Linked DNA regions of Nothobranchius furzeri. The protein of the gene in region 1 purifies or fractionates together with the protein of each later gene. This does not show direct contact. Links are inferred from orthologs where the notes say so. Each region holds a gene or a part of one and is shown in the gene's direction. Other genes may lie near its edges.

The links.
Region 2: the proteins of slc30a4 (region 1) and pds5a purify together in Homo sapiens (affinity purification with mass spectrometry; 3 studies listed by BioGRID and IntAct, counting the BioPlex papers as one, with this or other methods). This does not show direct contact. The link is inferred for Nothobranchius furzeri from reciprocal best matches to the Homo sapiens genes SLC30A4 and PDS5A.
Region 3: the proteins of slc30a4 (region 1) and c8h19orf25 purify together in Homo sapiens (affinity purification with mass spectrometry; 3 studies listed by BioGRID and IntAct, counting the BioPlex papers as one, with this or other methods). This does not show direct contact. The link is inferred for Nothobranchius furzeri from reciprocal best matches to the Homo sapiens genes SLC30A4 and C19orf25.

Annotation. Positions count from the first base shown.
Region 1 is NC_091749.1:43,226,700-43,237,543, reverse strand, and holds part of slc30a4 (probable proton-coupled zinc antiporter SLC30A4), read left to right. Parts: intron 1-55; coding exon 56-202; intron 203-2,156; coding exon 2,157-2,310; intron 2,311-2,410; coding exon 2,411-2,606; intron 2,607-3,885; coding exon 3,886-3,991; intron 3,992-4,068; coding exon 4,069-4,203; intron 4,204-5,047; coding exon 5,048-5,139; coding exon of another isoform or gene 5,140-5,202; exon of another isoform or gene 5,203-5,333; intron 5,334-7,010; coding exon of another isoform or gene 7,011-7,037; exon of another isoform or gene 7,038-7,244; intron 7,245-10,844. UniProt on the Homo sapiens protein: Probable proton-coupled zinc ion antiporter mediating zinc import from cytoplasm potentially into the endocytic compartment. Controls zinc deposition in milk.
Region 2 is NC_091747.1:79,462,994-79,473,837, reverse strand, and holds part of pds5a (sister chromatid cohesion protein PDS5 homolog A), read left to right. Parts: intron 1-334; coding exon 335-486; intron 487-569; coding exon 570-683; intron 684-874; coding exon 875-956; intron 957-1,046; coding exon 1,047-1,095; intron 1,096-1,179; coding exon 1,180-1,319; intron 1,320-1,821; coding exon 1,822-1,937; intron 1,938-2,313; coding exon 2,314-2,419; intron 2,420-2,495; coding exon 2,496-2,656; intron 2,657-2,826; coding exon 2,827-2,950; intron 2,951-3,061; coding exon 3,062-3,220; intron 3,221-3,456; coding exon 3,457-3,525; intron 3,526-3,627; coding exon 3,628-3,764; intron 3,765-3,853; coding exon 3,854-3,977; intron 3,978-4,196; coding exon 4,197-4,401; intron 4,402-4,477; coding exon 4,478-4,592; intron 4,593-4,725; coding exon 4,726-4,858; intron 4,859-5,015; coding exon 5,016-5,135; intron 5,136-5,339; coding exon 5,340-5,402; intron 5,403-6,272; coding exon 6,273-6,406; intron 6,407-6,493; coding exon of another isoform or gene 6,494-6,743; and 6 more. UniProt on the Homo sapiens protein: Probable regulator of sister chromatid cohesion in mitosis which may stabilize cohesin complex association with chromatin. May couple sister chromatid cohesion during mitosis to DNA replication.
Region 3 is NC_091748.1:78,704,946-78,715,653, forward strand, and holds c8h19orf25 (UPF0449 protein C19orf25 homolog), read left to right. Parts: upstream 1-5,352; 5' UTR 5,353-5,540; intron 5,541-5,925; 5' UTR 5,926-5,943; coding exon 5,944-6,085; intron 6,086-6,361; coding exon 6,362-6,543; 3' UTR 6,544-6,923; downstream 6,924-10,708. Other genes in the region: reep6 (receptor expression-enhancing protein 6), read right to left, coding at 112-244; interferon-induced protein with tetratricopeptide repeats 1, read left to right, coding at 2,701-2,705, 2,920-4,228.

The DNA of each region.
Region 1 (10,844 bases):
TGGAAACTGGTTATATGCCATGACATTTTAATTATTACTGTCCCTTTTCCTTTAGGTGGTTATGTATCAAACAGTTTAGCCATTATGACGGATGCTGTGCACATGCTAACAGACGTGGTGGGTATCTTGTTCTCTCTTCTGGCCCTCTGGCTCTCCACTAAGCCTCCTACCAAGAGATTCACATTTGGGCTACATCGCCTCGGTGAGTTTCAGAAGCACTTCCCCCCCCCCATATCCGTTTTCTATCTGTGTCTATTTTGTTTGTTTGTTTCGTTTATGTCTGTGCAGCAAAAACCAAAGTTTGCATTTCAAACACCTTAAGAGAGAGTGTTACAGCAGGTCTCAGGTGTGATCAGAATCTTGTTCCAGAGACACGGAGACCTGGTGTTTCCTTCAGAAGCTCAACATAACCATTCACAGTATGCATATTAATAACCCCGTCAGAACCAAAGATTCAACATGATTTAGGAACAGCTGGAGTAAGTTGTTAGTTGAAGGAGGCACTTATCTGTTTTAACTAAGTCATGAGACTTAATACTTATATAAAATAAAAATGACTTTTCACCAAGTTTCTGAAAACTTAACCCTGACTGTGTGAAAATAACCAAACAAGTCGTTTTATGTTTCCAACAACATAACAAGGCAAGGCAGCATTATTTATACAGCGCGTTTCATACACAGAGGCAATTCAGTGTGCTTTCCATTAGCAAGAACATTAAAATCAACGCGACAGAAAATACAATTTAAAAATTAAAAAGAAGTATTTTGCAAGAAGTTTTGGTGCAGCATTACAACATTCATTCAACACTCGCTCCTTAATGGAATCCACCTTTTGTGCCAGAGCCTGAATCTCAGCCAAAGTTCCAAGCTTACGACTCATCTCGACAATTATGAGTTTGTGCGTTCACTGCATGATGCATCCCATCCCTGAGCTCCAAGATTGAGCCAATATTCCTCGAAAGCTCGTAAATTTTCCGGTAAGCCAGGTAACTGATCAGGCCAAACAGCAGGAATCCAGACACCAAATTATGACACCAAGATTTCTAACCTGGGTCTTTGTCAAAGTGAGTGCTGACTCAGCTGTTTAGGTTTTTGTCCACATCATGAACTTTATATGCATATAAAAGCCGATGCAGCACCTTGTACCTGCATATGATTGGATCTCCCTCATGTGAGTGTCTGTAAAACACTTCATTTTGATTATGCTGCAAAAATCAGAATCAAGTCAGTTTATTGTAGCTTTTTGCATTTTAATCTTTCTGTAATGGTTAACAATTTTGACCCCAATTTTGACTTTTGGTCTTTTAAAAACAAGGCCACAAGGAGACATAGTCGCTGTTTACAATCTGTCCCGCCTCCATACTTCCTGTTTTCAGAGCCAATCATACGTAAGCCTGCGAGGTTGCAAAGTCTTTTGATGGTAAACCCTGCTGTGCCGGCAATTGTAGTTCGACATTGGCCTGCAAAAAGCAGCAGTTGTGGAAATAATGTTACCCAGTAAAAGGAGCGGCCCAGAAGTTATTTCTTGTTCCCCTAAGAACCACGGCATCTTGTTGTTTTACTCTGATATCGGGTGAAGAAGCCTAGAGGCTAACAATGAGCTAACAAGATGGAAGCAAATAGTTGGCTCTACAAGTCTCTCAATAATACAGTGAAATGCATTTATCTCCTTATCAGCTTTGACCACAGGATGTCATTCTGACTTCACACACCTTTATTTTCCTCATGTTTTCACCCCCAGAGTTCGCTCTGTTACACTACTGCTCAGAGACCACCGCTGGTTGCATCAATAAACAAGCTTCACATTGGGGCTTCTCTGAGCCGTAAGCCATCTAGTGAAACAGCTCAGGGCTGTTACTGTTCCCTACCAGACTAATGTCTGCCCCAGGAAATGCTCCACCACTTCAACACAGATGTCTTCTCTTGCCTTTCTCAACTTTGTTTTTTCGTTTTTGTTCTGCTGCATCAGTGTCTTGGACACAACCTATACCTCCTGTTCTCCTCACACATCTTAGCTATGAGAAAACTTGACGCTTACTTCAAAATGGCTGAACTGTTTCTTTAGGTTGGACTTTGAATATATGGGGCTGGTTGTTGTTGTTGTTTAGAACCACTCTAAACCTTTTCTGACAGCTGAATGTGACTTTTGTTTTTAGAAGTGGTATCGGCAGTCCTCAGCGTGGCGCTCATCTACATCCTGACGGCTGCGTTGCTCTATGAAGCGGTTCAGAGGACCGTGCACCAGGACTTCGACATAGATGGAGACATCATGCTCATCACTGCAGCCGTGGGTGTTGCTGTTAATCTCATGTGAGAGACGCCTTTCACCCTAAAGCAAAGATTTTAATAAGATAAACTCTGACTGACCGAGCTAATTGGACTGAATTCTTTGCTCTTTTTGTGTGTTTAGAATGGGGTTTTTATTAAACCAAGGCGGTCATTCCCACTCACACGGCCACGGTCATTCTGCGGTTCCACATTCAACCGGGTCGGTTCAGCAGAAACCACATGGCAGCCTGGCCGTAAGAGCAGCCTTCATCCACGCCTTGGGAGATCTTGTCCAGAGCATCGGCGTTCTCATAGCTGCTTATATAGTTCGCTTCAAGGTACACCCAATTATTTATGTTTATGTATTTAGCAGACGCTTTTGTCTAAAGCGACTTACAAGTGATAATCGGCATGTTGCCCTTGAGGCTAACAACAACAACAATAACAACAATAACAACAACAACATTGACATCAGTCATGGAGAGTAGGGAACAAGGAGTGGACAGTAGAGGGGGGGGGGGGGTGCAGGGAGGGTGCTAGTTAAGAAGATGCTCTCTGAAGAGCAGGGTCTTCAGGAGTTTCTTGAAAATTGAAAAGGAAGCCCCTGTTCTGGTAGAGCTTGGAAGGTCATTCCACATTTGTGGAACGATGCATGAGAAGAGTCTGGATTGTCCTGAGCGTGGTGTAGGCACTGCTAGCCGACGATCCCATGATGACCGGCGCGGCCGAGACGTAAGCCTTTGCAAGAGGATTCAGGTAGATGGGAGCCGTACCATCTCGGACTTTGTATGCTAGTGTTAGCAATTTGAATTTGATGCGTGCTGCTAGCGGTAGCCAGTGGAGCTCAATGAACAGAGGGGTGACGTGTGCTCTTTTTGGCTGATTGAAGACCAGATGCGCCGCTGCGTTCTGGACCATTTGAAGAGGTCTCACAGTACTGGCTGGAAGAGCAGTTAGAAGGGCATTGCAGTAATCGAGGCAGGAGATTTATTTGCTTTATTTACTAAAGAACTCCCTAAAACCTTAGTTTGGAGCACTTTGTGTCATTTTATCACTCAATGAAAATATCTTGAATTTATTTTTAAACATTTAATTAACCCTCCCACTGTCTTTATGGGTGACCCCGCGAGGAAAGTGTACCATTGAGCTGGGTTGATGGTTTATCCCTTGAGGTCCACGTGGCAGGGGTGAGGTGGTGCTCACTCCTCACCCCTGCCATGTGGACCTGAAGGAATAAACCATCAACCCAGCTCAATGGTACACTTTCCTCGCGGGGTCACCCATAAAGACAGTGGGAGGGTTAACACAGAGTTTAACTAATGATAAAAATAAACTAGGAGTGAACACACACTTCTGTAATATGGGTGTGTGTGATGCATCATTCATGTAGTGACATCATGTTGCCTCAGTCTGTCACACCCATCGCTCTTTGTCACAGCTTCATTAGTAACCGATCACCACACCACTCTTTACTGAAACTGTTTACGATGTGTTTGAACATGTTCAGGTCTCGTGTAAATGATAAAAGAGTAAAGCCGGTTTATGATAAAAACAACTATTAAGATGTTCCGTTGAAATAAAAAAGGTTTTAACTCCAATAACACTCTGAATTCACAGCCCGAGCTGAAGCTGGCAGACCCAATCTGCACCTACATCTTCTCGGTGCTGGTTCTCTTCACCACGTTCCGAATCATACGAGACACATTAATCATTGTGTTGGAAGGTTCGTTCCGGATGTTTTATGGTTTTCTGTTTGGTGTTGGCTGTTTTCTTATGTGTGCTGTTGTCCTGCGCTGTCAGGTGTCCCCAGACACATGGACATTCAGCGAATCAAAGAAGACCTCCTGAAGCTGGAGGATGTCCAATCGGTGGACGAGTTGAACGTCTGGGCGCTGACGGCCGATAAGACTGCTGCACTGGTACATCTGCAGCTCGGTGAGTGACTGACTGGATACTCGATGAAGACACTAGGTTTGGGTGAAACAATGTACAGATCTCAGTCAAATGCAAGTTTTGTACCACTGAAGCGTTTGGCTGCATCACAATAAACCATCCCTGTAGAAATGGTTTACATTAATCTGCAGACTCCACACAAGGGGGAGCTGTGTCCTCACTGGTGGAGCAACTAATGCACAAGAGGATTCAGCTATTGTTTATGTAAAAATGGCTCTTTTCTGGAAAATCCAGACTTCAAACACATTGGATTTGCCTTAATTCCTAAATATGGTAATTTATACAACTTTTGTTTGCACACATATCCAATCCAATCCAAACACATATCATTTAGTCCTGTCTGAACAGGCTTAATGTGTCATAATAAATGAACTTTTTGTTATCAACACAAATTTTCCATAACTTTAAAAATCAGGACAACTTTTTCATATAAATATTATGTTGAAATCAAACAAAAGAAGAGGAACATAAAAATATTCACACGGGGCACTGAAGCATGAGTAAAATAAGAATGCAGGGCTGCATCGTAACATTGTCCCAGAGACCTCAGTCTGTAAGAACAAAATGGAAGTTAAAAACCTATATTTAGTTAGGAATGCTTGGTTTTTCCCCCTGACCTTTTGGCTCTAATATTTTTACTTTACATGGTAATGCAGCGGAGCGACTGAAAAAGCTTCCTGGCTTGTGCCGCACATCATTTGAACAGATACGCTAGAAAATCCAGCTTCTTAGTGTTTGGGTATTTTACATCTCAGGACAGTGTGGAGTTAGGATTCAATAAAACAAAGGTCTGATTTATAATGAATGCATGTTTTGGTGTTAACAGCACCCCCTAGTGCTAACAACTGGGAGGAGGTCCAGGCCAAGGCCCGCCACCTGCTGCTTCACACCTATGGTCTCACCAGGTGCACCGTGCAGGTACAGACACACCGGGACAGGGCGGTACGCACCTGTTCACAGTGCCAGCAGCCCAGCGCATAAAGACTCTCGTGGTCACACTGACTTCACCACTCATTCTGTGGAGGCAGAGAGTACACAAACACAGAGGGGCCTGGATGTCCCACTGCTGCTGCAGCTCTGTGCCGTATAGCAAAGTGTGCAGACGTAAATGGAAAAAGAGTGGTTTCGAAGGACATATCTAATTAGAGAGGATCTGCAGCCTCCAGGGACTTTGTGCTCTTTTGCTTGAAAAGCTCATTGAATGCAATTTGACTCGTTCTGAAGAAGATTGTCCTTAATTCACCTTTAAAGCCTATCACAGCTGACAACATTTTTCTTATTTAGCAGTTTAAGTTATCACAACTGCTGTTGGGTCGTCAGATGTAGATCTTTGTTCCAGGTGTTGGACCTGGAAATGTTATTCTTACAAAACACACGACTAAATGTTTCATGCCTGCAAAGTGCTTATAAATTATCTGGACCTTGAACATCACACCTCATTAAACACTCTTCCTCCATATTTTTAATCACCAAAGCCTGGGTTCAGGCTGCTGTTGTTGTTTTTTTATTTAAACAGTGTTGGATATTCATAAAGTAACACATGGTGCCTGGTCTCATCCATATTTAACAGCATTGTTGACAGGAAGCTGATCAAAGTGGTGATGGATAACAGAAAAACTTCCAAGTATTTCAGAGGAGGAAGAGTGAGCTGAAATAAACCAGGGGTGGTATCTCATAGGGGTTTCTCCTGTTTTATGAGGCTGTGGGGGTTTCTGAGTTAAACGTCTTCACATCTCAGACATGAATGATGGGGCAATATTGTTGTTTGTAATAAAAGGTCAAAACACTGTCTCTGCCTTTCTTTTTCTCAAGACAAGGTCAGCTCATAATGTAGCTTGTTGACCCCTGATCTATTTTTATTACTCAGTAGTATTTGGCTCAAATATGGATGAAAATAAAACATTTTATAGATGGACCTTTAATGTGTAACATCACATTTCAACACTAGGGGGTGCACTACTTAAAATGCAGTTTAATTTGTACAATACATCAGATGATGGTTTTGCAAGATATAAAACACTTTTTTCAACAAGAAGGTTTATCTTCTCTAAAAGAGAATGAGTTGGTGCTTTAAACTTGTTTATTTACGTTAATGTTCAAAAGTGCCAGAGATCTAAAACAGCTTACCATTTAAATTATGAGCCTTTAAATAAGACATTCATAGAAACAGTGTTCATGTGTTCATACGTCAGGGGTTAATAATTGACCATGTGTCAAAGGGGGAGTGTCTGTTACCAGGCAATGATAATTAAACCGCAAACATCTGTTTACTTTTTCTGGCCAAACAAATATTTACCAAACCCACTTGTCTGCCCTGCCTTCCAATAGTATGAAACAAGGAATTTAGTATTTTCATTCCCAAATGTCTGGATTATAGTAGATTTTATTAATATGTCTAAAATGACTCACCTACAGAATAATCAGTAATGTAACATGTAGAGGGTACCTGTGTGTCTTTACTTTTTCAACTGTACCTGTTTGGCTTGTTGGTCACATGGTCTGTGGTGTCGGGTTTAGAGTGATGCACGTACACACACACACACACACATCCTTCCTCTCTTTGTTTCTACCAATAATGTCAGCTGTACTGTAGCTGGATTGGTGAAGCCCCCACACCATCAGCTGTCATCCCGCTGCAGAACAAGTCTCCAGACGAGTCTCTGCATGTCATAAACATTTATGTTCAACTAGATTTATGACACACAAGTACATTATTACAAGTTGTCAGCTGACGAAAGAGGAAGGACATTTTTCATCTGAGATGATTTATCTTTTTTTTTTTTTTGCAGTCTTGTGACCTCAGTGAAACCAACTAGAAATGTGTTTCAGCATCACAGAGCCACTCACTCAGAGCAGGAAACTAAAGCCATGCCTCGTCTTCTCTTTGTTCCTTTTGCTTGTTCAATAAATCAGGAGAAATCTATTCAGGGTCATTGATAAGCAGCAGCCCGTGGAGACAGGATACAGCCACCAGAAAATGATGGGATGGACCTGTTCTGACCATTACTCTCCTCTGAGATGAGGCTTAAGAGGATTGTCTCTCTGAAACACAATGGGAGCACTGGATGCTCATCCAGCTGTAATCTAAGCAGATTACTCCTGTTTTAAATTCTTGGTTTGGATGACATTTATTTCTTCATACCTGAAAACAAGACAGAGAATCAAGATCTAATGGTTTTATTGTTTAAACTTGATCTTCTTGAAACATATTTACACTCTATAGACTACAAGAAAACATGTATTTATTATTGCTGCTTTATTTCTAAAACGTGTTTTATTCCAGAGATTAAATTGCACATGCATGTTTGTTTTTCTGTTTTATTCCCACCAGTACTTATTAACACCTGCATTTTTTATTAATTTGATGAAAAATCAATGATAAAAAACAGTATCCTGTATAAAAAACTTATAACATCAAGAAAAAATATTTTATTAATTTTTATGCACAAGTGACTTCATCTGAATTTGATAAATAGAGTTACTAAAAGTTTAATTCCTATTTATACACAAAATGAAGCCATTTAAAATGTTTATACCTTATTTACATGCTGATAACACCTTTTTATCTCTTAAGATAGAGATTTTTTTCCCTTCACTGAAACAATCCATTCTTTTCTGACAAAACATTTGGGAAAGTTCTGAACCTGACTTTAATAAAGACTGATTTATGCTCTGAAAGTTCATGCATAATTTAATCTAATAAGACAAAATGTCCTAATGTTAGTATGACCTGCACATTTATTCTATAACTTTATTAAATAACAATAAATACATTTTTGTTTCAAAGTATTTCCAGTTTGGTAATTAGTGTTATGGTGACATTCGTCCAGTTTGTCCGTGTGTGCTCAGCTGACAATGATCAACTCTGAAGGGCGTTAAGGATCGCAGCTATTGTAGTATATGGTTTTCTCTTTTTGTGTGACATTTTAAAAATGTGTGACATGTGTTTTGATATCTTATGTGTCAGTCCAGCTGTTATTTTTTCACATGCTGTCTAATTAATTGCTATCTATGTAGGTCACTCATGGGAGGACAATCCTGTATGAAAGATGCTAAAAAGATATAAAAATATGTTTCCAACATTGATTCTGTAAAGAATAGAAGCAAGGGCGTAGGAACGGGGGGGGGGGGGGTCCAATATTGGACAAACGCGTATTTGTCCCCCCGTATTTAACCTAAGTCTCCTCCCCTTCTGGTTGGCTCATGGGTCTCCGATCAAAAAAAAAAAAAGAATGTTAGTGATCTGGCTACAAAAGTTATTTTCTAGTCTTTCTGGGCTTTGCCTTAAGCTTGTTTTATGCTTGACGCGTCCGCGAGGTTCGCACGGCTCCGTGTGGCGAAATTGCATCATTTTAACACCACGTGCCTCCACACGGCCCAAGATTTCTGCATCGCGCACCTAGGAAATTTCTAACCATGCGGACGGTCGGACGCGGAAAAACATGGCGGACTGGCAAGAACTATGGCAGAGGTTCATAAATACAGACATTTTTATGATTCAGCTCTCAAAGATCACCGTGATCAACATGTTGTTAATAATTCTTGGAAAGAAATAGCTCGCACTGTCGGAAAAGACGAGGACGCTGTTAAAAATGCTGGAATGCTATGTTGTAAACAACAGTAATTTCTACTTCTACTATGGTGTAGTGTTGGATGCATGCCGTAGAGCTCCGTGCTGCCCCGTTCAGTTTGGGAGAATATTGGCTCACCGCAGAGACAAGCCGCATGAACCATAAACGCTGCGAGTTGTGAAGCGCGTTCCATCCGCGAGCCGCATCACCAAGCGGAAAGTGAATGCGTCAAGCATAAACCAAGCTTTACGTCCTGAGTTGCATCTGTCAGGCTTTTCATATCCTACAGTTTCACCGTCAGAAGCTAATGCAGGAGATATGTGTGTAGAAGGGCCCTCGTTTGTTTCCCATGAATTCTGACTCTGACTGTGAATTTTCGTATTTGCCGCCCAAGGGGAACGTTAGAACATACCATCTGGCGAGGAGGGGGGGGGGGGGGGGGGGGTTTACAAATACCCTCTACTTTTAACCTCCACCGTGGTAGTTGAAACCTCCCCCTCGCATTGGCTCGGTCCAAACTCAACCACTGACGAGGCGGCTCCCGCCGTTCACTTCATAGAGCCGGCTTTTAGAGCGATCGACACATCACTAACGTGTTCGCTAGCAAGATGGTTAAGGTTAGGATAGGGGTGAGGGGAAGGTTAAATAAGAGGATATGGTTAAGGTGAGGTACAATGAGCTTGTTTGGTGCCCTGGCTGCGGACATCCCATCACGTTAGTGTAACGCTGCATTGGGATGCAACGGTAAAGGACATCCCATCGCGTCAGTTGGGATCTGCATTGGGATCTGCAGTCAAATAAGGGAAAGATCCCTTTTCGCACATAAGTAACGAAAAAGGGCACTTTTGGCATCAGGGGTCAAACGTGGAGGGTGGCTGACCAAGCGTTTGTTTTTGAGCGCTGGGAGTGAGAATGCGGGCGGTTCCTACCACCGCCATCTTGGCCGGGCCACACATCTCGTCACTCTGGGAAAATACAAACACGTAGCTGAGAACAGGGCTGTGAGGGTGGGGGCGGATGACTGAAATCCATCAAACTCTGAGCTGATGTAGCTACGAGCTAACTACGCTAACCAAAGCGAACAGAGGTTGGTGGGCGCATTTAGCTATACTGCAGTTGAGCGACCCTACTACCCTCTGCCTTTTAACATGAGGCTGAAGCCTTCCCTGGGCTAGCTGCTAGTGCTGACAGCTCATTTTCTAGTTGTCAAACAAATGGACTCGCCCCTAATAGCTTATCATTTCAATCTGTCATTTCATCTAAAGTAAATCCCACAATGGACACTAAAGCCTGATTTATGCTTCTCCGTCTGCGTCAGTGCGGAGACACGCAACGCCATTATCCGTCCTTGCGTAGGGCTCTATGGCAAGCCAAAACCGTCACAATACGCCACTTTCCCAACCCGTCTAGTTAAGAAATGGCGAAAAAAACGCCGTTTGATGTGCCAAGACGTCGTAAAATACGGCGAAAACTCTGCCAGAACGCCGTAATTTACGCCGTTCTGAACGGTCCCGTAGAACGCCCGTAAAATACGCCGTTTTTTCCGGACATTGAACGCCGTTTTTTACGTCACCCTAATCCCAGACGCGTTCTCTGTGTGGGTGGCGTAAAATACGGCGTTTGGTACGGACATTGAACGCCGCTTTTTTCGCCGTTCTGTGACATAAAACGCCGCTTTTAACGCCACTTTGTGACAGTTTTAACGCGTTTAAAATTCAACTTTACTCTCATTTATGCAGAGCCCTCCCCATGGGTTTCTCATCCACTTAATTTAAACTCCAGTGACCCAATGAAAGACGAGGAGGTTGAGGCAGCACTAATTCATCCCAGATTCGCCGGGCTGTCGGGCTGTGCGGACTGCTGTTTTCTAATACAACTCGGCTCTGTTTCAACTAATTTCACTGTATTTAAAAAGCCTTGAAATGTAGTAATATTATCAACAATGTGTCAACATTATTATTTTTTCTGTCCACCTGTAAAAGGCAGAAACGCTGTTTCAGTCAGACCTGATGATTACTTAAAAGTGTGGCTGCCGTATCAGTCTGTCCTCGT
Region 2 (10,844 bases), on another chromosome or scaffold:
TTCCACAGCCTTGCCGTGCCGAGTGCATGTTTGACAACCCACACCGGTGGCTGGTAGATGTAAACGTAAACCCAGTGTTGTACCCGTCTAAATAAATATTTGATTATTTTTTAATGAAAATATAGCTTTTAAAGGAAATACTCTACCTTCATTCTGCACACCTCTAAATGCCCCGTGGAGGTATTATTTTGAAAAATAAAGCTTTAAATTGTTCCATATTCAGCCTTTAATATGCAAACACCATCACAGAGGTTTGAAGTGAATCTCTGACCACAAACTTGATCCTAATTTCATTCTCCCCTCTTTAATCTGGTTTCCTCGCCTTCCCCTGCAGTGGCGTGTGCGTAAGGAGGCCATGATGGGCCTGGCTCAGCTTTACAAGAAGTACTGTCTGCACCATGAGGCTGGAAAGGAGTCGGCCCTGAAGATCAGCTGGATCAAAGACAAGCTGCTGCACATCTACTATCAGAACAGCATCGATGACAAGTGAGTGGCCTCCCACCGAACCGAGGAGGCAGTTGTACGTTTTAAATTTCATGATTAGTAAATTTGATTTGTTCTTCCCACAGATTACTAGTAGAGAAGATTTTTGCTCAGTACATGGTTCCCCACAGTCTGGACACAGAGGAGAAGATGAAGTGTCTGTACTACCTGTATGCCTGCCTCGACACCAATGCTGTCAAGTTAGTAACTAGCAAAGTCTGCACAATGGTTTTAATGTTTTACACATAAATGTTGACTTGTGCGTTAATTCAGAAGTGTTACGTTGGATAAAAGGTCAGCCATATTCCACACACAATATTAAATCAAAAGCATTAAACCATCAACAAGTCCATAACAGGAGGATGTTTGTCTTTGTGATCTTTGCTTCCAGGGCTCTGAATGAGATGTGGAAGTGTCAGAACATGCTGAGAGGACTCGTCAAAGAGCTGCTTGATCATCACAAGCTGCCAGCGGTGCGTTCAAGCTCACCTGTTGTCCAACAATTATGAGACAAGAATCTAAAATTAATCTGTAACAAGTTTTTTCTGTCTTCTTCCTGGCAGTCCGAGGCCAATAACACAGCCATGTTTGGGAAGCTCATGAGCATTGCTAGTGAGTTAGAAACATAAACATGCACATATAGTTATTCATCTTGGCTGTTAAGCAGGTTTATTTTACCTTTATTGATGTTTGCAGAGAACCTACCAGATGCTGGGAAGGCCCAGGACTTCATGAAGAAGTTCAATCAGGTTCTCAGTGAGGATGAGAAGCTCAGAGTCCAGCTGGAGATGCTGATCAGTCCAACCTGCTCCTGCAAACAGGCCGAGATCTGTGTGGTGAGACGAGGCTCTCTAGCTGTGGATTACATCCAATTCAACGTGCACAAAGCAGAAACCTAATTCAGATTCTGAGTTTCATAGGTCAAGTTTTTTTTTATCATGCAATAATTAGTATGAATGCTTACAGGGGGTACGAAAAGAATTCAGACCCCAATCAAGTTTTCACTCTTTGTTATATTGCAGCCATTTGCTTAAATCTGTTAAATAAATTATTTTCCTCATTTATGTGCACACAACACCCCATATTGACAGAAAAACACAGAATATTAGACATTTCTGCAGATTTATAAAAAAAAAATAAACCTGAAATATCACATGGTCTTAAGTATTCAGACCCTTTACTCAGGATTTAGTAGAAGCACCCTTTGACCTAGTACAGCCGTGAGTCTTCCTGGTAAAGATGCATCAAGTTTCTTACACCTGGATTTGGGGATCTTCTGCCATTGAATACTTTCTGTACCCGCTGTATATTTACTGTTTCCTATTTCTACTTGTGCAGAGGGAGATTACTCGTAAGCTGACATTCCCCAAACAGCCCACCAACCCTTTCCTGGAGATGGTAAAGTTCCTGCTGGAGCGGATCGCACCGGTTCACATCGACTCCGAGGCAATCAGGTCGGAGAAAATCCTCAAAGATTAAGACAACAATACTAGAACTGGCTTGTTTTATGTTGCGGTGATTTTAAGTTTTTTAATTTTATTGAGGTGAACATTTTTTATTTAAATGTGTTTTTAAATTCTAGTTTTAGTTTTCAATCACAGAAAAGAGAAACTGTGTCTTCAGGTTTCTGAACCTGAGTGCTTAATGTGTGTGTGTGTGTGGTTGCATAACACTGAGCTATCATCATTCACTGAGCCACCTAGCGGTGGTCATGTGCAACTGCAACTCCAGTCTCCGCTCCTCTTTAACCCTTTCATCTTTTTGGGAAACCACACTAATAAATGAGTCCAGACACACGTGTGGATTAGGGATGTTGTGTTTTTGGTTCAGTGCTCTGGTGAAGCTGCTAAACAAATCCATCGAGGGAACAGCGGATGATGACGAGGAAGGCGTCACCCCTGATACAGCCATCCGCTCCGGACTGGAGCTACTCAAGGTTTGATCGAAACCAGAGAAAACCTTGAAATGGCCCTTTACAGTTGGATAATTAATGAGTTTCCCTCTGCTTTCAGGTCCTGTCATTTACACACCCCACAGCCTTTCACTCGGCTGAGACCTACGAGTCACTGCTGCAGTGTCTAAAGATGGAGGATGACAAAGTGGCAGAAGCAGCCATCCAGATTTTCAGGAATACCGGGCAGAAGATTGAGACAGAGCTGCAACAGATTCGATCGTAAGAAGATGGATGCGTTGATCCTTTCATGTGTTTGTGTTCTAAATAATTGACGCTTAGTTGGATTTGACACAGGTTTCCTCAGTTTGACAAGATTGTCCATTAAAAGAACATTAAGATGCCTCTGTGAGAATGAACATGTAAATGAAAGATTTCCTGTTGTTCTTCAGGACACTGATTCCCATCCTGCACCAGAAGGCCAAACGAGGAACACCTCACCAGGCCAAGCAGGCGGTCCACTGTATCCATGCTATTTTCAACAACAAGGAAGTGCAACTGGCACAGATTTTTGAAGTAGGGAATAATTTCATGTTGGTCTGTAGGGATCAAACTTTTCATGTTAAGTGTTTTTATTGGTGTCACCAGACCGTTTATGTGTCAGGATGTGTTCATCTTCCTCCACAGCCTCTGTCACACAGTCTGAACGCCGACGTCCCGGAGCAGCTCATCACTCCTCTCGTCTCCCTGGGCCATATAGCCATGCTGGCTCCAGATCAGTTTGCATCACCGATGAAATCCATTGTGGCTAACTTCATCGTGAAAGACTTGCTCATGAATGACAGGGTGTGTGCAGCAGCCATCCTTTCACCTAAATCAGGAGTCACACACACACACAAGGCATCAGGAGTCACTTTTTTTTTTTTTACCTGTCTGGCCCGTTTAGCTTTAAGCTTTAGCATCTTTTTTTAAGTTGTTACAAACTGCATTTTACTGGGCAAATACATACAGCTGTAAATAAATGACATGTGTGTTTGTTTACATAAAGAAAGCAAAGATGTGGTTTATCTCTGTGTCTTCAGTCAGTGGGAAACAAGAACGGGAAGCTATGGACCGCTGATGAGGAAGTTTCTCCTGAGGTCTTAGCAAAGGTACCTGATTACAGATTGCTGTTTGGGCCCTTTTTAAAATATTAACAAACAGATGTTAAGTGTCACAAGAAACAAAAGACACGTTTCCCCTCTGTCCTCCAGGTCCATGCCATCAAGCTTTTGGTGCGCTGGTTACTGGGAATGAAGAACAACCAATCCAAATCGGCGAACTCCACCCTGCGCCTGCTGTCGGCGATGCTCGTCAGCGAGGGAGACCTGACGGAGCAGAAGAAAATCAGGTAGCTCAGCTGAGCTCTCAGTCACGTGTGGCAGCCATCATTCCCCATGAGACTCCAGACTTTAGCTGCTTCTGTCCTCTTTCTCCCAGTAAATCGGACATGTCTCGTCTGAGGCTGGCTGCTGGGGCGGCCATCATGAAGCTGGCGCAGGAACAATGTTACCATGAAATCATCACACCAGAACAGTTTCAGCTCTGCGGCCTCGTCATCAATGTCAGCGTCACTTTTACAAATATTTTTCATTCCGTAGTTTATTGGACTCTAGCGTTCTTAAAACGTAAACAACCAAGTGATGGATGCATCTTAAGGCATGCTGAATCATTTCACACAAGTCCCACAATGTGCTGTGAAAACAACTTTCTTACAGCCAGATGTCTAAAACATGAGCTCCATGTGAGCAGTTGGTCTCATGAGCATCTTAACTCTCCACAGGACGAGTGCTACCAGGTTCGTCAGATCTTTGCACAGAAGTTGCACGTAGCTCTGGTCAAGCTGCTGCTGCCCCTGGAGTACTTGGCCGTTTTTGCTCTGTGTGCCAAGGACCCGGTGAAGGAGCGGCGGGCCCACGCCCGACAGTGCCTCCTCAAGAATATCTCCGTCCGCAGAGAGTACATCAAGCAGAACCCCGTCACTCAGGGTCTGTGGTCATAATTCATAATTCAGCTGATGTCTCTGGTTGTTCTCATTAAAAGGAATTTTCATTTTCCCACCAGAAAAACTCATCTCCCTTCTTCCTGAATACGTGGTTCCTTACATGATCCACCTGCTGGCCCACGACCCAGACTTCACCAAACCGCATGAATACGAACAGCTGAAAGACATTAAAGAGTGAGTGTGTGTTGTGTTTGTGTCGAGCTGAACGTGTGTGTTTCAAACACGGCTTTTTTTGTTGTGAATCCTGAAAACCAGACAAATGTGGTTTAGCTACAGCTTGAATCCTTTTACGCTTTGCTTTCTTCAGGTGCCTGTGGTTCATGTTAGAAGTCCTGATGACCAAGAATGAGAACAACAGCCACGCTTTCCTTCGGAAGATGGTCGAGAACATCAAGCAGACAAAGGACGCTCAGTGTCCTGAGGATGTGAAGGCCAATGAGGTGTTTGGCACATGTGACGTTAAAAGATTTAATCTGGTGTTGTAACGGGCAAGCAGAATGTGGAAGTCTGACATTTAACACATCCATTTTTGTGAAAGCAGGAAGTTGATTTGTTTACTTTCAAATGATTCTTACCGGGAATCTTGTGACCTTACAGAAACTGTACATCGTCTGTGACGTTGCACTATTCGTCATCGCTAACAAGAGCACCGCGTGTCACCTGGACTGCCAGAAAGAGCCAGTCTTACCCTCAAAGTTCTTCCTTGTACAGGACAAGGTCATACCACACACACACACACACACACACAGAGATGTACATTATATAGTGTGCTCATAATGTTTTGGGACCTTAAGCCATTTCTAACACTAAATGCATGTTGTCATAACATTTCAAATCCTAGTGTGTGCGTGTGCGTGCTTGTACGTGTGTGTAAATAGATGGAGAGAGAGAAAATAATGATTTTGTAATTTTCCTTGTCAGGATTTCAAAAACGATAAGGAGTACCTCACGGCAGAGATGAGACAGATGCTGCTCACTGGAAAGGTAAACGATCAACACTGGAGTGTAAATCTTGACACGAGTTACTCTAGTTTTCAACTTATGGGAAGTTTAATTTGGAATAGCTCGGCAGCAGTAGTTCAGGAGGTTGAGCGGGTTGTCAAGTAATCAGGCTCCTGTCAGAGAATGCTGCTGTTGTGTCCCTGGGCAAGGCACTTAACCCTCCTTGCCTGTAGGTGGTGGTTAGAGGGACCGGTGACGCCTATGTTTGGCAGTCTTGCTTCTGTCATTGCGTCCCAAGGCAGTTGTGGCTACATTGTAGCTCATCATCTCTCTCTGTGTGTGTGTGTGTGTGTGTGTGTGTGTGTGTGTGTGTGTGTGTGTGTGTGTGTGTGTGTGTGTGTGTGTGTGTGTGTGTGTGTGTGTGTGTGTGTGTGTGTCACTCTAGTTTATCATCTCAGCTGGTTCTGATTACAAAAAGGAAACTTGTTGCCGTGTTTACTTTATTTTTTAAATAGTTGCAGGCCGGAGCACGGCTGCAACTCCCCACTCCTCCCTCTGTTGCACCAAGGCGTAATATGCGTTCACAAGTCTGGCATTGCGGTAATATGATTACCAAGCATGGCGGCATGAATGCCACAAAACTCCCGCTACGCCATGCCGCCACGTCACATGCATGACACGCCGTGGCGGCAGTGTTATGCGGATTTGCCGGCATGGTGTCTTCTAAAAAGGACTTCAGATTGATAGGTTGTGAGATGGAAAACATTTGCAACAGCACTGTTTTGTTAGGTGAATATTTACTGTGGGGTGCTTGTTTTAAATTGGAACCGGTAAACTTTGACAGAATTATATTTGAAACAAAAACCAATGATGCATTTTAAAAGTTTGGTTTTAATGTTTTTTATCCTGCAGCCAAAACCAGCTCCAGTGTTGGCCGCTGTCAACAAACCTCTGACAGTACCAGGGCGGAGGATCTTCAAGACCCCCACAGCTTCTGACACATCCAGTAATACAAGCACCAACGCCTCTCCTATCATCAAGAATAGGTAAGCACACACACACACGCACACACACACACACCCACCACCTTTGCCTAACCAGAACTGCCCAGTGCTGTCCTCTTGGTCCACCAGGCAATCCCTCCTGTTGGTGCAATTTTCAAACAGGAAGTGTGAGTGGAGTTGGATTCTGGTAGGGGGTGATTTGCTCTTTAAGCTCAAAACCAGTGGATTGTCAGACTTCGCACCTACAACACTGAGTGCATATCCATGTCTTCAACCAACCACTTACCACCACAGCACTGTAAATTATCAGACCGACACTACTGACATAGGGAGAACCACACCACCCATCTTATGGAGGACAGACTCGAAGCTTTGTTAAACTTACCACTTCGCTCAACTGTGGCACCACTCATTGTCAGTTTCACATGGACAGTTACGAGAGAGAGAGAGAGAGAGAGAGAGAGAGAGAGAGAGAGAGAGAGAGAGAGAGAGAGAGAGAGAGAGAGAGAGAGAGAGAGAGAGAGAGAGAGAGAGAGAGAGAGAGAGAGAGAGAGAGAGAGAGAGAGAGAGAGAGAGAGAGAGAGAGAGAGAGAGAGAGAGAGAGAGAGAGAGAGAGAGAGAGAGAGAGAGAGAGAGAGAGAGAGAGAGAGAGAGAGAGAGAGAGAGAGAGAGAGAGAGAGAGAGAGAGAGAGAGAGAGAGAGAGAGAGAGAGAGAGAGAGAGAGAGAGAGAGAGAGAGAGAGAGAGAGAGAGAGAGAGAGAGAGAGAGAGAGAGAGAGAGAGAGAGAGAGAGAGAGACCCTCATATTTGTCTCTGTTCTCTCTGATTTCAATAATCTCTTGGTCTCCAGTATTATGATTTTGACTACAACACTATTAATTCTTTTTCTGTCTTTCCAATTGATCAATCAAACCCAATTATTATGCAAAAAGAAAGCTGGGATGCTTAAAATTGGCTTTTTACCAGTGCACCCTAAATATTATAAGACTCTTAAATTATGATACCGTTATGAACAGAGATCTTTTATATAGCGCCTCTCAACATAACGATCATGAGGCGCTTCATGAAAACAAAAAAATTAAGATATTAATATTTCTAAAAATGATAAAAAATGATCATCTACCTGATGTGATGACTTATACAAAAGCAGTTTTTCTACTGTTTGTATTATTTTGACCAAAATAACAATCCCGGGCAAGCCCTCAATTTTTCACGCCTGGCTCTGGTGTCCACGACTAAAATTACAACATTCAATCAAACTGTTGAATCAAGCTGTTGATAGCTCAGTCATAAAACTATTTGTTTCATTTACTTTGTTTTACAACAGCACTACTACAGAATCATCAGAGAGTCGAGCGCAGGAGAACAACGAGAACCCGGTCATCAAAAACGAAGAGGTGAAAAAGATAAACGCAGATGGGTGCAAAATATTTCCTAACTTCACTCCTCGTTCTCCTAACTCGACATTTGTCGTTGTCATTCAGGATGCATCCGATCAGAAATCAACCCCCGACACTGGGACCGATGGGTCACCTGTCAAACGGCGTGGCCGGCCTCCTAAAGCTGTGGCTGCTGCTTCTGCAGGAGCAGAAAAAGAGGGCACGGTGCCGTCAGCGGGGGCTGGAGGTGGCCGAGGAAGGAAGAGAGCAACTGATGCGTCTGCAGACCCCCTCAACATCAAGATGTCAAAACAGCAGCTGCAGCAGAACGATGAAGGGACAAAGAGACAGATTGATCTGCAGAGGTAAAAGTGCAAAATGCCGGATCTCAGCAGCTTGAATTGTTGTTTCTCAGCAGATGATTCTTTATAAGCAAACAGGCGTGCCTGAAAAAGAGAAGGGATTGGAGGATTTTCCAACTTCAGCTCAGTGGAACAAAACTTTTAAGGGCAGTTTTAATATCTAACTGAAATCTAAGCTTGACATAGACAGGAAGTAAGAGGGTCTTTTGTTTTCTGCAGCCTCTACTAGGGCCAGATTTTAATCACAATTACCATCTGGGTTTTGAACAATAACAAAACGAGCTGATTATTTGTTCCTCCCTCATGTGCTGCTCTGAGTTGCAAATCAAGCGCATCTCCCACAGTGTTACCAAATGTGTCGCTTTTCATATCCCCCTTTTTGACTTTTTATCCTAAAAGCACCCAGCAAATAACGTGGTAACATTTCTGATAACTAGCTACTTTGTCATCGATATTCCCCGCTGGTTAGCAAACCATCAGGAGAGGTAAACAAGTTCACATGTGCGGTGTATGTCGTCTGACTAATCATTCTCTGCGGATCTCACTCATTAAAACACTTTTTTGTGAGCTAAATAAATTCGAGACATAGCGAGTCGTATCTGAAGTGGATTTATATTTTATCAGGGCTGCAAATTCTCTCACGATAGGTGTGAGACACACATTTGACGTTTGTCTTCATGTGCTCTCACACCACACCTCCAGTTTCTCACACAGATAAGTAATAGTAGTTCATCTTTCTAAGCGTCACATTGCATCGTGCTGCTGTGCACACACACACACACACACACACACACCTACGGCTCCGCTGACAGGACTAAATAATTATTATGTAGCAGGTTGTGAAAGTTCATTACAACAGAGATATTTATATTTTTATTACAGATGTTTGCACTATGTGGCTCTTTTGTGTCAGCATTTTCTTTTATTAAAATAGGTCTGTATTGCGTAGGCTTAAGTCAAACTTTCATAGCCTTTTGGTTATGAACTCTATTATTTCCATTAACGCTTTACAATATTTTCAGAGTAAAAGTCAAAATTTGCAGCTAAAACAGTAAAATGCATGAATGCAGTCAGAAACAGGTTTGATGATTTATTTTTTCGTGTGGAAATAATATCAGATGGTAAAAAGCTCCAAAAAGTATTTTTTCCATATGTCCTCTTTAACAACGGGGTTGTTGGTTTAGTGTCGAGGCAACAGCAGAGAACGTCTCCGCTAGTAGAAGCTAAGCATCAGCAAGTTCACCACACAGCAGAACTGCTCCAGGCTTCAGTTATTTGTGGACATAAAACACCAACGTTGCAAGTCAGTGGTAGAGTCGCGTTGTTAGATCTGAGATGTTCAAATATCAGGAAATAAGACTCCAAATTCTGTTGTGTTCAGATCAGCTGTGATCTGGCACACTTCTAGTTCCTGATATAATTGTAAAAAGGTGTGTTTCAGCTCGTTGCGTGGCTAGAGGTGTATATTCATGGAGAGGCAGTGCTTCCAGTCCTAAGCAGGGACTTAAGGTGCAATATATATTTTCTGCCTCTAGATGGTGCCCTTTAAGAAAAACTGATTTTTGCTTTAAGTTTTTTCTTTAACTCTGAACTAATTTAACTTTGACCAATATTTTTTATGTTTTTGGTGGAGAAAGGACAGAATTAACAGCCTTTAGGAGTAGTGTTGATCTTGAACAAATTTTTTTTTTATCAATCTGAAGATTGTTTTTTATATTTTCCTGCACCTTGAGGTCAGTCTGGACTCCGGTCAGCCTTGCAGCAAAGTGCTCGATTAAAAAGTATTTTTTCCTTATGGATTTCTTCCATTTTTGCTGTTTTTCACTCTTAAATATTTCAGATCACCAAACAATCATAACCCGAGTAAATGCAAAGTGAGGTTTTCTGATATTATTAAAGTCTACCTGAACCAGCCCGGTCCAGTGTGAATGATGAATAAATCTCTCATATCACTGTGGAGGAATCTTCCCCCATTCCTTTTTACAGAAATGGTTTATTTCAGCCACATTAGAGCACCTTTTCAGCACTTGTTTAAGGTCAAAAGTCAGACATTCTCATTTTCTGCTAGAAAGCAGAATTCCTGCTCCCATCAGTTACAGCAAGTGGTCCAGGTCCTGGAGCAGCCCAGACCATCACACTACCACCACCGTGTTTGACTGTTGGTGTAATGTTTTTTGACATGCTGTTGGTTGGAACCGAACAGAAACCTTCCAGAAAGGGCTTTTTCACATGCGTTTTTTTTTTTATGAATTAAAACTTCTTTTTAGAAACTGCATTTAATTTTCATTAGTTATCTTTGTCTAATAATATAAGCTAACTAATCCAAAATACACCACTCAAAAAAAACAAATTAATAATGGGAACAACACAATGCAACTCGAAGTCGATCACACTTGTGTGAAATCAAGTTTCACATGCTGATGTGGAAATGGAATAGGCAATTAACAAGACACTCCCAATAAAGGAGATGTTCTGCAGGTGGTGACCACAGACCGCTGCTCTGTTCCTTTGGCTGATTCTTTGGTCACTGTTGAATGCTGGTGGTTTTTTCAGAGTTTACAACCTGTGGTTCAGGTAGTGCAGCTCATCCAGGATAGCACGTCACTGAGAGCTGTGGCAAGGCGGTTTGCGTTTTCTGTCACATACTGTGCATGGAGGCACTGCCAGGAGACAGGCCAGCACAACACAGACGAGGAGGCCGTAGGATGGCAACAACCCAGCAGTAGAACCGCTACTTCTG
Region 3 (10,708 bases), on another chromosome or scaffold:
CTTTTCTCGGACTCGTCCAGGCAGGTACCGTTGTGTCACACCTGGACAGAATCCACCCAGAACCACGGACACCTTTCATCACCTGAACACAGCAGGAGCTTCCTCACATACCCACAGCCAGGACCTTTTTCTTGATCCCCGTCTTTTCCTCCACCTTCCCCAGAAAATCCGTCACCACGTTCTTCTCGTTCAGAAACTTTTCTGCTCGGTCCTTGATGGAGGTGAGAACACCCAGCAGTCCCATGGTCTCCAACAACGTCCTCAAAGAGAAGCAGAGAGGAAAGGATCCTGGACCGGCAGCTGGCAGGTAGTAATCCTCTCACAGCAACAATCTGTTGTAATGAGGAGGTGGAGCGGTGAGGGAGGAGGTGCCTCGTGAGCATCCGTTAATCCCAAAATCATTCATTCAAAAGTCTCATTCTTAGATAGAAACATTAAAACTTCCCCCGATGATTATGTTATGGTTATATAGTTGTTTAAAGTTTCAGTCTTTGCCTTTTCTCCATTTCTCGTTTTTATTCTCCATCAAACACAAAACAGATTTACTCATCCTAAAGGCAAAGTTGTTCATATTTTTGAATCAGCATCTTGAAACAGTGAAATGTCACTCAGACCCCACCGCCCTCTGTGGCCAGGATACCTCAGAGTCCTGGGCCACCGCCTGTTGTGCTGCTGCCAGCATGTTTGTTTTAGATCATGGACACAGTTGTTTGTTTAATTTAGTGATGAATCACTCCTGTAGACACTAAAGAAGGCTGGGGAGACATTTCAGCTATTAGATTTGGGTGTTAAAAAGAAAAAGGCACAGCGAGGAGATTGGTTTCATTTTGGACCACAGATAATTAATAATGGACACTAGGGGGTGCTAAAAGCAAGAAAAACTGCAGAGTGTGCCCTTAAATGCCAGTTGTGCAGAAACAACACAAAACATCAAGGGGCCATGTAGGTTTTTTTAAACCTTAAATGGTTTTATTTATATATATATATATATATATATATATTTTTTTTTTTTTTTTTGGAGCACACTAGAACTACAGCTGGTAACTTTTACTTATAATGTGTTACAGTCATATCCCCATTCGCACATTCGGGTGCCTTCACAAGCATGTGAGAATGGCCTTGTTTGAGATGAGCGGCGCCTCGCCTGGAAAACAGGTGAGAGCAGACGGACGCAGCGGTGGGAGTGGCTAAAAGCCTGCGTTTAAGTGGGACAGGTTTCTCTACATGTAGCTTGCGGGTGACGATGGCTGAAGAAATCGCATTAGCGTTCATAATTGCGTAACCCTCTGGTGCCTGTTAGCAACTGAAACACATCCTCACATGCGTGTGGAGATCATGTGTTGTAGACATGTGCTTATGGAGACATGACTGTAACAATAAGTAAAGGTTAGCAGCTGTAGTTTTAGTGTGCTCATAGGAAACGTGACAAAAGAACGTAATCACATTTCTCTGTATGGCCTGTATAGTTGTCATCATCAACGTAACATGATTTACAGAATACATGTGACCAACTATCATTTAACGTTCCACCACAGGATGTTTGGATCAAAAGTCGGCGTTGAAGCTTCTTTCCGGAGTATTTCTCTTATCTGATGGCACCATCTAGTGGCTGACAAGCATATCACACAAAAAGTCTGTTCCTCTGTTTGTTTAAGATGGCGACTTCACGTTTCTGGTTATAAATGTGCTTCTGCAGCTGACAAACGGAGCTAAAACACGCTGTTTTACGAGTATTATTCTCATGTCATGTTGTGTTTTCATATATTTATATTTTAGAGACTTACTTGTCCGTGAAACGTTCATCAACTCTGCATCAGCCGAGGTATTCCTTAAATTTGAAGCACGTAAGCGGTAGTCTAACACAGTTGGTTAGCTCTGGTCGGCGCTCAGTTCCCTATTGAATGGAGCTCTGTGGGGCAGGGGGCGTGTTTAGCAAAAAAAAAAAAAAAAGACATATTGCTTACATTTGATCACAGCACATGATGGGATAATCACTTTAACAGATTCTGAACAATCATACATCATTTTTGAAAGGGGAAAACTCCGGAATGCAGCTTTAAGTCGGATCCAACCGGCATGCACCGCACGCCGATCACTGGTATTCTAATCTGCGCAGAACTGGCTCATCTCGAACACGGCCATTTACTTCCTGGATTGTTGGATTGTCTGGGCATGGCAACGACACGTGTGACACAGCCAAGATGGCGTACGTGGGAACCGCCCTTTTGGCCTCATGAGGAGGGAAGTGGGAGGCTTTGTCCAGGATTATTACACGTCTGTGGAGGAGACCCAGAGGGAGTCTTCTCTGACGTGGCCCACCAGGAGAAGCTGGAGAGGGTCCAGGTGTCCATCATGAATCTGTTCCGTCTGCAGCCGTGAACAGATGGACAGACTCCCACTTTGACAACTGCTTCAGTTGAACTTTAACCTTTTGAGAAGAACAGCCCAGTAGCGTCCTCTTTAGCCCCGGATAAATGTGTGAAGTCACTTTTTGTTCTGCTGATAACAGCTGGAGGACAGAAATGAAACCAGCTCACGGATGAAGCTGGTTTTATTTCCGTCCTCGGAGTCCAAACTGCTCCCGCTGACGTGGTTTACAGCCGCTCCAGCTGAACTTTACCCGTTTTATGATGCTGCACCTGAAGAAAAGGAGCTGGACGGGAGCCGGGATGTTTAGAAGAGCAGAGTCTGAGCTGCACCATGAGGTGAGTGCAGATGTCTGCATTAATACCGGATTGACTTTATTTATGGAGAAATCCTTAGTTATTACTTTACTGTCTCATCTCCCTCAGAGGGCTCGTCCCAATCATTTCTTTTACTCTTTAGCCTTTTGTCCTTATTTGTTTTCCTCCTTTGCTGAACATCTAAACTCAACCTGTTGTCTGAGAGTTCACTTTCGTCCTTTTTGATGTCTTTCAGCTCTGCTCAGAGTCAGACAGGACTTTGGTCCAAACTGGAGGTCCTGGAGTGCCACTTCACCTGGGATCTGGCTCCTAGCAGGTCCCGACTGCTCCGCCTGCGGGACGAGCTGGAGGACATCGGCTCGGAGGAGGGATACTGCTGGCTGGGTCACATCTACAACCTGCAGGGCTTCGTTCACTGTCAGCTGGGCTTCGTCAAAGAGGCGCTGCGGTTTTTCTGCAGGGCCGCAGAGGCTTTCCGACAGCTCAGGAACACCGTCTCAGATGAGGGCCCGTGGCTGGTGGTGAATTACGGAAATCTGGCTTGGCTGCACCACCACCTGGGGGAGCAAGCCCAGAGTCAGGGATATCTGTCAAAGCTGGAGGCCCTGATGAGTGAATATCCGTCTCCGTGCCTGGATGAACCCCATCCAGAGATCTGTGCTGAAAAGGCCTGGACTCTGATGAAGTTTAGCAGCAGCGAGAAGCTGCTGGCTGCAGATTACTTCCAGAGGGCCATCAGAATGCAGCCAGACATGGTGGAGTGGCAAACCAGCCGAGTGCTGGCTTTAGTAAATGCCTTCATGCACCAAAGAGCACACACGGATGTGGACATCTTAGAGAAAATGAAGATTGCCAAAGAGCACGACCCAGATAACTTGTACCTCGCTGCTCTTTACCTGGAAGCTCGAGCTCAGAAAGGAGCAAAAGTTCAGGATGAGGCACACAAGTTGGCCAGGAGAGTTTTAGCAAAGCCGGTGAGCAGCTACAGCGGCATCAAGCCATTACTGCGGCTCTACAGGATCCACGTCTCCATGGATGAAGCCATCGATTTAGCAGAGGAGGCTCTGGAAAGGCATCCAGGTGCACGCTACATAAAGAGATGTGCTGCAATCTGCTACAAGAGGAAAGTCTTCTCGCAGAGCAACAGTCACCTGGAGCCCAGCCGGATGCACAGAGCCATCAGTCTCCACAGAGAGGTCATCGCTCTCTACCCTCATTCCTCTCTCCAGATGCAAACATCTCTGGCAAACATTCACGCAAAATTAAATCAGCGAGCAGAAGCTGAGGAAATGTTTCAGGAACTGCTGAGAACTGACCTGGACGCTGAAGGAGAGCAGATGGTTTGCAGTTATTATGCAAAATATTTAGAGTTCAGTCAAAAGGAGAAGCACAGGTCGGTAAAATATTACATGACAGCAGCAGCTGTCCCACATCAGTCCTTCTACAGGGAGGACAGCATCAGAAGGCTGGAGAAGATCAGAGAAGAGAACCTGCCGCCCACGAGCAGAGAGGTCCACGAGTTCCTGCTGGATCTGACAGACTGACCCGGATTCATGCGTGTTTACCGGGATGATAAACACGAAGGAAACAGACGAATAAAGTCTAAATTAAGGTTTTGTGTTAATAAAATTATCTTTAATACATTTTAATTTTTTCTGCTACTTATTGGAACTCATTTATTTATTTATTTAGTTCACAAAAGTAAAATATTCTGATTAAAAATAAAATATTTGAAATGTTGCTTCTGTCAGTTACTGGAGTAAAATGAGAAAGAATCCACTCAACATTTAGAGATTTAAAAAATCTCAATTAACTGATTTTAACCTTTTGCCCCCCCCCCCCCCCCCCCCCCCCCGGTCTTTTTTATTCTGGTTTTTACTTTCTTCTGACTGATCATGAACTTTGTGATCGATTGCTCTGGTCTACAGTGTGCTGTCCTGACGACAGACCGGTACAACGCCCAATAAATTATTAGCAAAAATCAGAATTAAGAAATAAACACAATGAAATGAACCGGTTCCAACGTTGTTTGAACCAATTTTTACGGCTAAACGAAACTAAAATTAATCGACTCTTTCGGTTCCCAAACGGCTCCTCACATTTTTTGTGCCTGAGCCACCTCAGCTGGTTCCTCTCGGCATAGTTTTTAAACTAATTTATCACCAGAAATCATGTAAAATCCATCTGTCCATTTTCATCCGCTTATCCGGAGTTGGGTCGCGGGGGCAGCTTCTACTAGCTGAGACGTTCTCTGCTGTTTCCTGGACTCTAAACCAACAGCAGCCTTCCCCGTCGTTAGCCAAGATGGGTGAGCCCATGAATGTTAGTGACAGTGTCACGTAGATCTGCCAGGCTTTCCTAGAGATTCCCCGTCAGTTTTCTATCAGAAGCTAATAAAGGAGATAGATGTAGGAGACTATTTTCATGTTCAGCCTGCATGAAACACTCAGAGTGCCTGATTATCAGAAATAATAATTAAAACATGTTTTTCGGTGTTCAACACCTTTAACAATACAGTCTCTGAACAAATAAACATTAACGTGTATTACATAATATACAAGTACTACATGTAGCAAAATCACATGACTTTTTTATTACTTTATTTTTTTTAATATAAAACAAATCACGGTACAAAAACATAAAAACACGCTCTGCCGACGTGGCTTGTGACGTTTTGACGTAGGCTGTTAATGAACTTCCGGTTTGGATGTTAAAAGAACGTCCGGGTCGTTTTGGCTGCTCGTCGTTCATAAACTACAGAAACGTTTGTTTCCCATGAGCAGTCCGGTTTAAGTCGTTGCCGACGGGCTGAGAGCAGACACATCAGAAGGTTTCCTCCGTGAAGAATCAACTCTGGTAAACTTTAGAGAACGCTTCCGCGCCGCGCGAGCTGCGCGAGCAGCAGCCCGAGTTTCATACAAAAAACGTCTAAATTAAACAAAAATCGGCTGCCAGCTAATGTTACTTCCGTCACTAACGTCATTTTTACCTCATAACAATTGTTGGGTTGTTCTGAAATGTTCGGCTTGAAATGTTCCCGCTAGACTAATAAATCCGTTATTTTCCTACGAATATTGTTGCATTTTAAGCTAATTCTGGTGTATCACCGCTAACAGTTAAATTTGGGTGTTGATGGTTTTTGTTTATGCCGAATTGGTAAAATAAAAAAAATCGTATTTCGTGTATTTAAATGTAAGACACGTGACCTTTTCCTCAATCATCAGCGTGAACTGTGTTTTAGGTGGATTTGTCGTCTAAGATGAACATTGGCTCTAAGAATAAGAAACGTGTGGTTCTGCTCAGCCGCCCAGAACTTCCTAATGTGGACCAGATCCTGGAGGACATCAGCAAGGCTGCTCCTGATGATCCGGTCTTCAACGTCCTGGAGAAAACTGGGAAAGGCGAGTCCACATAGATGACCTTATAACAAACACGGTTATCTTCTTAGTTTAAATCAAAACTTGTCTTGTTCTGTTTAACACTTCACAATAAAAGCCCATTTCTGTTTTGATGTTCAGCATCTTGGTTACATCATGTTTAAGAAAAACGAGCAAAACAGTTTTTAAGATGGCCAAGAATGATATTCTTTATAAAATCAGGGATGCTTGTGTTTCATGGCCTTGCTCCATCATTCTGGATTCTGGTTGTTGAGCTTTGGTCTCATCTGCTCTCTGCAGAATGGTCCCTCCTTGCAGACAGTGAGGTGGAGCACCGGTTCCTGCAGTGTCGCCGGTACCTGGAGCTGAATGAGCGGCTGCGGGAGGCTCAAGGCCAGCTCCAGCGGCAGTGGGAAGAGCTACTGGCTGTGGGAGAGCAGCTGGACAGAAAAGTGGAAGAGATCAAAGGTCAACTTCTCTGACTCTACACCATTTCTGCTTGGGACACTTTCTCTGAACTCTGACTGGTCCAAGTGCCTTTGAGCCAGACAGCAGTGGCGCCACAGTGCTGGATGAGTTTTGAACTCTCAAATGGGCCGGGCTCTGCCGACCTCGTATCTGCCTCGCAGTAAAAGCTGCAGAAAGTCTTCTTTTGAAAGGATAACAGCCGTTTGGCTCACAGTGAAGGAAACGCAACGATGAGTCACATGAAAAGTAAATCTGAGAAGAAAGGAGAGTAAATCAGGAGAAACGGACAGAAATGAACAAATGCACAACTTTAATGTTTGTAATAAAAGTAAGTTCATCTGGAAAAGCAAAGCTGACCGGGGAAAAGTAAATATTAAAATGATCGTAAGCATTTTATTTTTGTCGTTTCTTCTCCGTACACAGAAATATTTAAAGTTTTCTAAATACATGAAATATTTTTAAAATGATTTGATTGTTATAAAAGGTTGTAAAAACAAGAGCAAACAGATGGAAAGCATTTTTAAAATAATGCCCAAACAAACAAAATCAAGACTAAAAGGTTAACATTTAAAGGACCACTTACCAACATTAAAACACCGGGTTACCCAAACAGAAGGTGTTTTAAAAAACACACGTTGATATTAAAAATCGACGCACTAAGAAAACACCCGAGTGTTTTAAAATCCCAAAGTCGGCAAACTACGATGTTAACCTTAAAACAGAGTCAACATCAAACAAAGATTCATTTGGATCACTCAGAGTTAAAACTATTAAAGTTAAAACTCATCAAAACGAAGGTGTTGAAACCAAAACGAGGCCTGGAGGACAGCAGAACCCTGCAGCCTTTTACCCCGGGTGTGGGTCATCAGGAGGATTCAGCTCAGCTGGGCTCCTCAGCAGCCTGGAGGAGAGGAGGAGGAGGGGCGGGGTGATCCTGGCTCCTGCACCTGAAGAGGCCAGGCTGGTGGTCATAACACTGTTCATGGTTAAATAACAGAGGAAACCAGGTGAATGTGAACTCTTACAACTTCATAAAACCGATGAGAATCTGCATGTGTACCTTGTCTCTCACTCACACACACACACACACACACCTGGTTCAGATCCCTAACCCTTGTTCAGCGCCGACCTGCTGACACATAAAATAGAAAAGCAGTTGAGCTCAGCTGTGGTGCGTTCGCTGACCCCATAAAACGACTAAAAAAACTGATGTTTGACTTTAAATGGGTGTATTAATATTTATTTACTTTCCAGACTAAATTATTTGAAGTAGCTCAGTTTGCTGGAAAACGGTCTTTTCTGTTTTCATGACCACCTCCCATTTGTGCATCTGTGCCGTATAAAAGTAGAAATAAACGTCATCAAACTGAACATGAAAACACAAACTTCTGTTTGATGTTTCTCATTAAACACGAACGCCTGAAGGAAGTCCACCAGACCGTTTTAAGGAATCACATCACTTTTATTGGAATGAAACATTTATAATGACACACTTCTGCTGTTTGCATGTTTGTCGCGACCCCGTGACCCCGCCTGCCATCTTGTTCACATGCAGGATGAGATGTTTTGTACCATTCTGCTCCAAACGGGTCGGATCCAGACGTGAACAAAGTCAGCGGCAACACCAACCACAACTCTCATCTCCTTTAACTTCATATTTAGTTTTTAGGGGCCAGGGGCGTGTCCAGGGAGTGGCCTGGGGTAGCACATGCCACCCTTGGAATCTGATTGGCCACCCCAGGTGCCACCACACTAATTTACCTTTAAATAGGCTTTTCATTGTCCACAAACGGCTTGGGGGTAAAACAAAAAAAGCATAACCATTGGTGCCACCCATGCACAAAGTTGTGCCTCACCTGGGCCACCCCATTTTAAAAGATCTGGACACGCCACTGTTAGGGCCGTGAAGTCATTCCCACATCCTAAATCTGTCTTTTCAAGGTTAAACAGAGGACTACAGACTACTGCCAGTCCTAATCTGTCTGACACGTCAGCAAGGGCAGTAAATTTATTCATAATCTATAAATGAATAATTGTCATTTGACATCATGGTCACAGATGTTGATAATTACCGTAAAAACCACCCAAATACCTATTTTTCTTTTACACTTATGTAGTTTGCGACAATGAAAACGAATTACGAGCAGCAGGCTTTTTCTACTGGAACGTTGGGATTTTAACGGTTCCCGGATTTCTTTCTCTTCTTGGAATGATGCTGCTGTTCATGTTCTCACTTCTTTCGGTTGGTTTGGTACTGAAAAGACAGATTTCAGAAGGATGTTGGCCTTTAAAAAGCTGCCAGGGTTTGGTTCGGTACAGGGTGGTCTCTGAGTAAACAGCCCCGTAACGCAGGCTAAACACTCTCCCATCCACACCTACAGGCACACGTGAAGGAGGGACGGGTACGACTACAGAGAATACTCATAATCCTCTCCAACTATTGCTACTTTTACAGCAACACGGTTAAGCAGAAACGAACATGTTGTGCAGAGTTGAAGAGCTAAGTGCCGGATCCAGGTCCGTACCACCACAAGCCTCATGGCGCAGAAATGGGGACAGAATTAAGAAGATTAAGCTTTCAGAAAAGGAGACGATCTCAGCCAAATGTTGGTGCTGAAACGATGTGACCTAAAACAAAATACTGGTTTTAGTCCTGGATTTCTAATGCAGACGCCCTCTTTACTCCATAAACGCCCTCCTCTTTGACTTGTTTTATCCTGATGTGTCATCATGGCCAGAGGCGCTAATCTCCAGGGACGTCCTGGTTAATAAAAGGTTATTGCCAGTGTTGAAACTTTAGATCTATTCTATGATTTATGTGGGTCCTATTATATATTTTTAGTTTCAAGAGGCCTCTAACATTTTAACATTTGTTTTATTTTATTTTACAAACCATTCCCTTTTACCAGGCCACAGTTGTAAATAAAATAATTGTTTTTAATCTGGTTTTTGCTGGTTTTAATAAAGGGTTAAAAAGTCTGATTGGTTAAAAACAACAAACTAACGTACTTATGAAGGATTTAGCAAAAAAATCTGTCTCTCGAAGGGATTTGAGCTCTAAAGTTTCAGTACACTCCAGAATGAGCCTGCTGTTGTTGACCACGCCCACCCATCCCCTGATAGGCTGCTGTTACAACCCCGGCACTGGGGGGGGGGGGGGGGGGGAATCATGTGTGGAGAGGAGGGGGTCACATAAAACTTAACAGGAGGAAAAATGAGGCACAAAACGAACAAACACGAAACGAGAACGCCTATATTCTTACAAAAAGAGTACCGTATTTTTTGGAGTATAAGTCGCACCAGCCATAAAATGTAAAACGAAGAAGAGAAAAACATATATAAGTCGCATTTTGGGGGGGAATTTTATTATTTTTCTTACAAAATCTGAGACCAAGCATTTCACACTGCAAGACAAGTACCAGTAACAATAAAAGAATAAACAACGCGGGCGCAGCAGCGCGCCACGGTCTCCAGCAGAGGATGGCGGTGTTTCAAACCCTCCCAGCGGGGCAGAGGAGCTGAAACCTGGACCGGAGCCGGTGTCGGTACAGGATCGGCTCGGGGTCCTTCGACTGCCGATAACGTCACATTACTGCAAATCTCGGCTTTCACACATACGACACATAAGACATCAGCAGTTTTGTTAATAAATTCTTGTTTGTCAACACCTGAATGTTTTCTTTATAATTGTAATTTGTTAATAAAACACCATATTATCTTTGTTTTGTAAAGAATGTGAAACTGCATAAAACCAACATCGGACTGACAAACAATAGAACAGTTCTTATATGTGAAGCCACATCTGTTAGTATTAATGTGGAGTTCTTCTGTATATTTCCTTAGTTGTTATCTTGGTGTCTTTCAATAAAGTTCTTATATTTTATTTTGCCCCATTTCATCAACATCAAGAGCTTTTGAGGGTCACCGTTTATCATTTGCTTATATTTTACATTTCCTTTAGAAATTCAAACATATTTTCTCCAAAACGTGTTGATTTTTGGACTACAGGACTACAACCACTAAGACTACAACCGCAAATTTGTTCTGACCAATCAAAATCATAACGTGATAACGTCTCTTCCGTAAGCTTCATGTTCAGCCAATCAACTACTTTGACATCATCGGCAGTCGAAGGACCCCGAGCCGATCCTGCACCGACACCGGCCCGCAGCAGCGCGC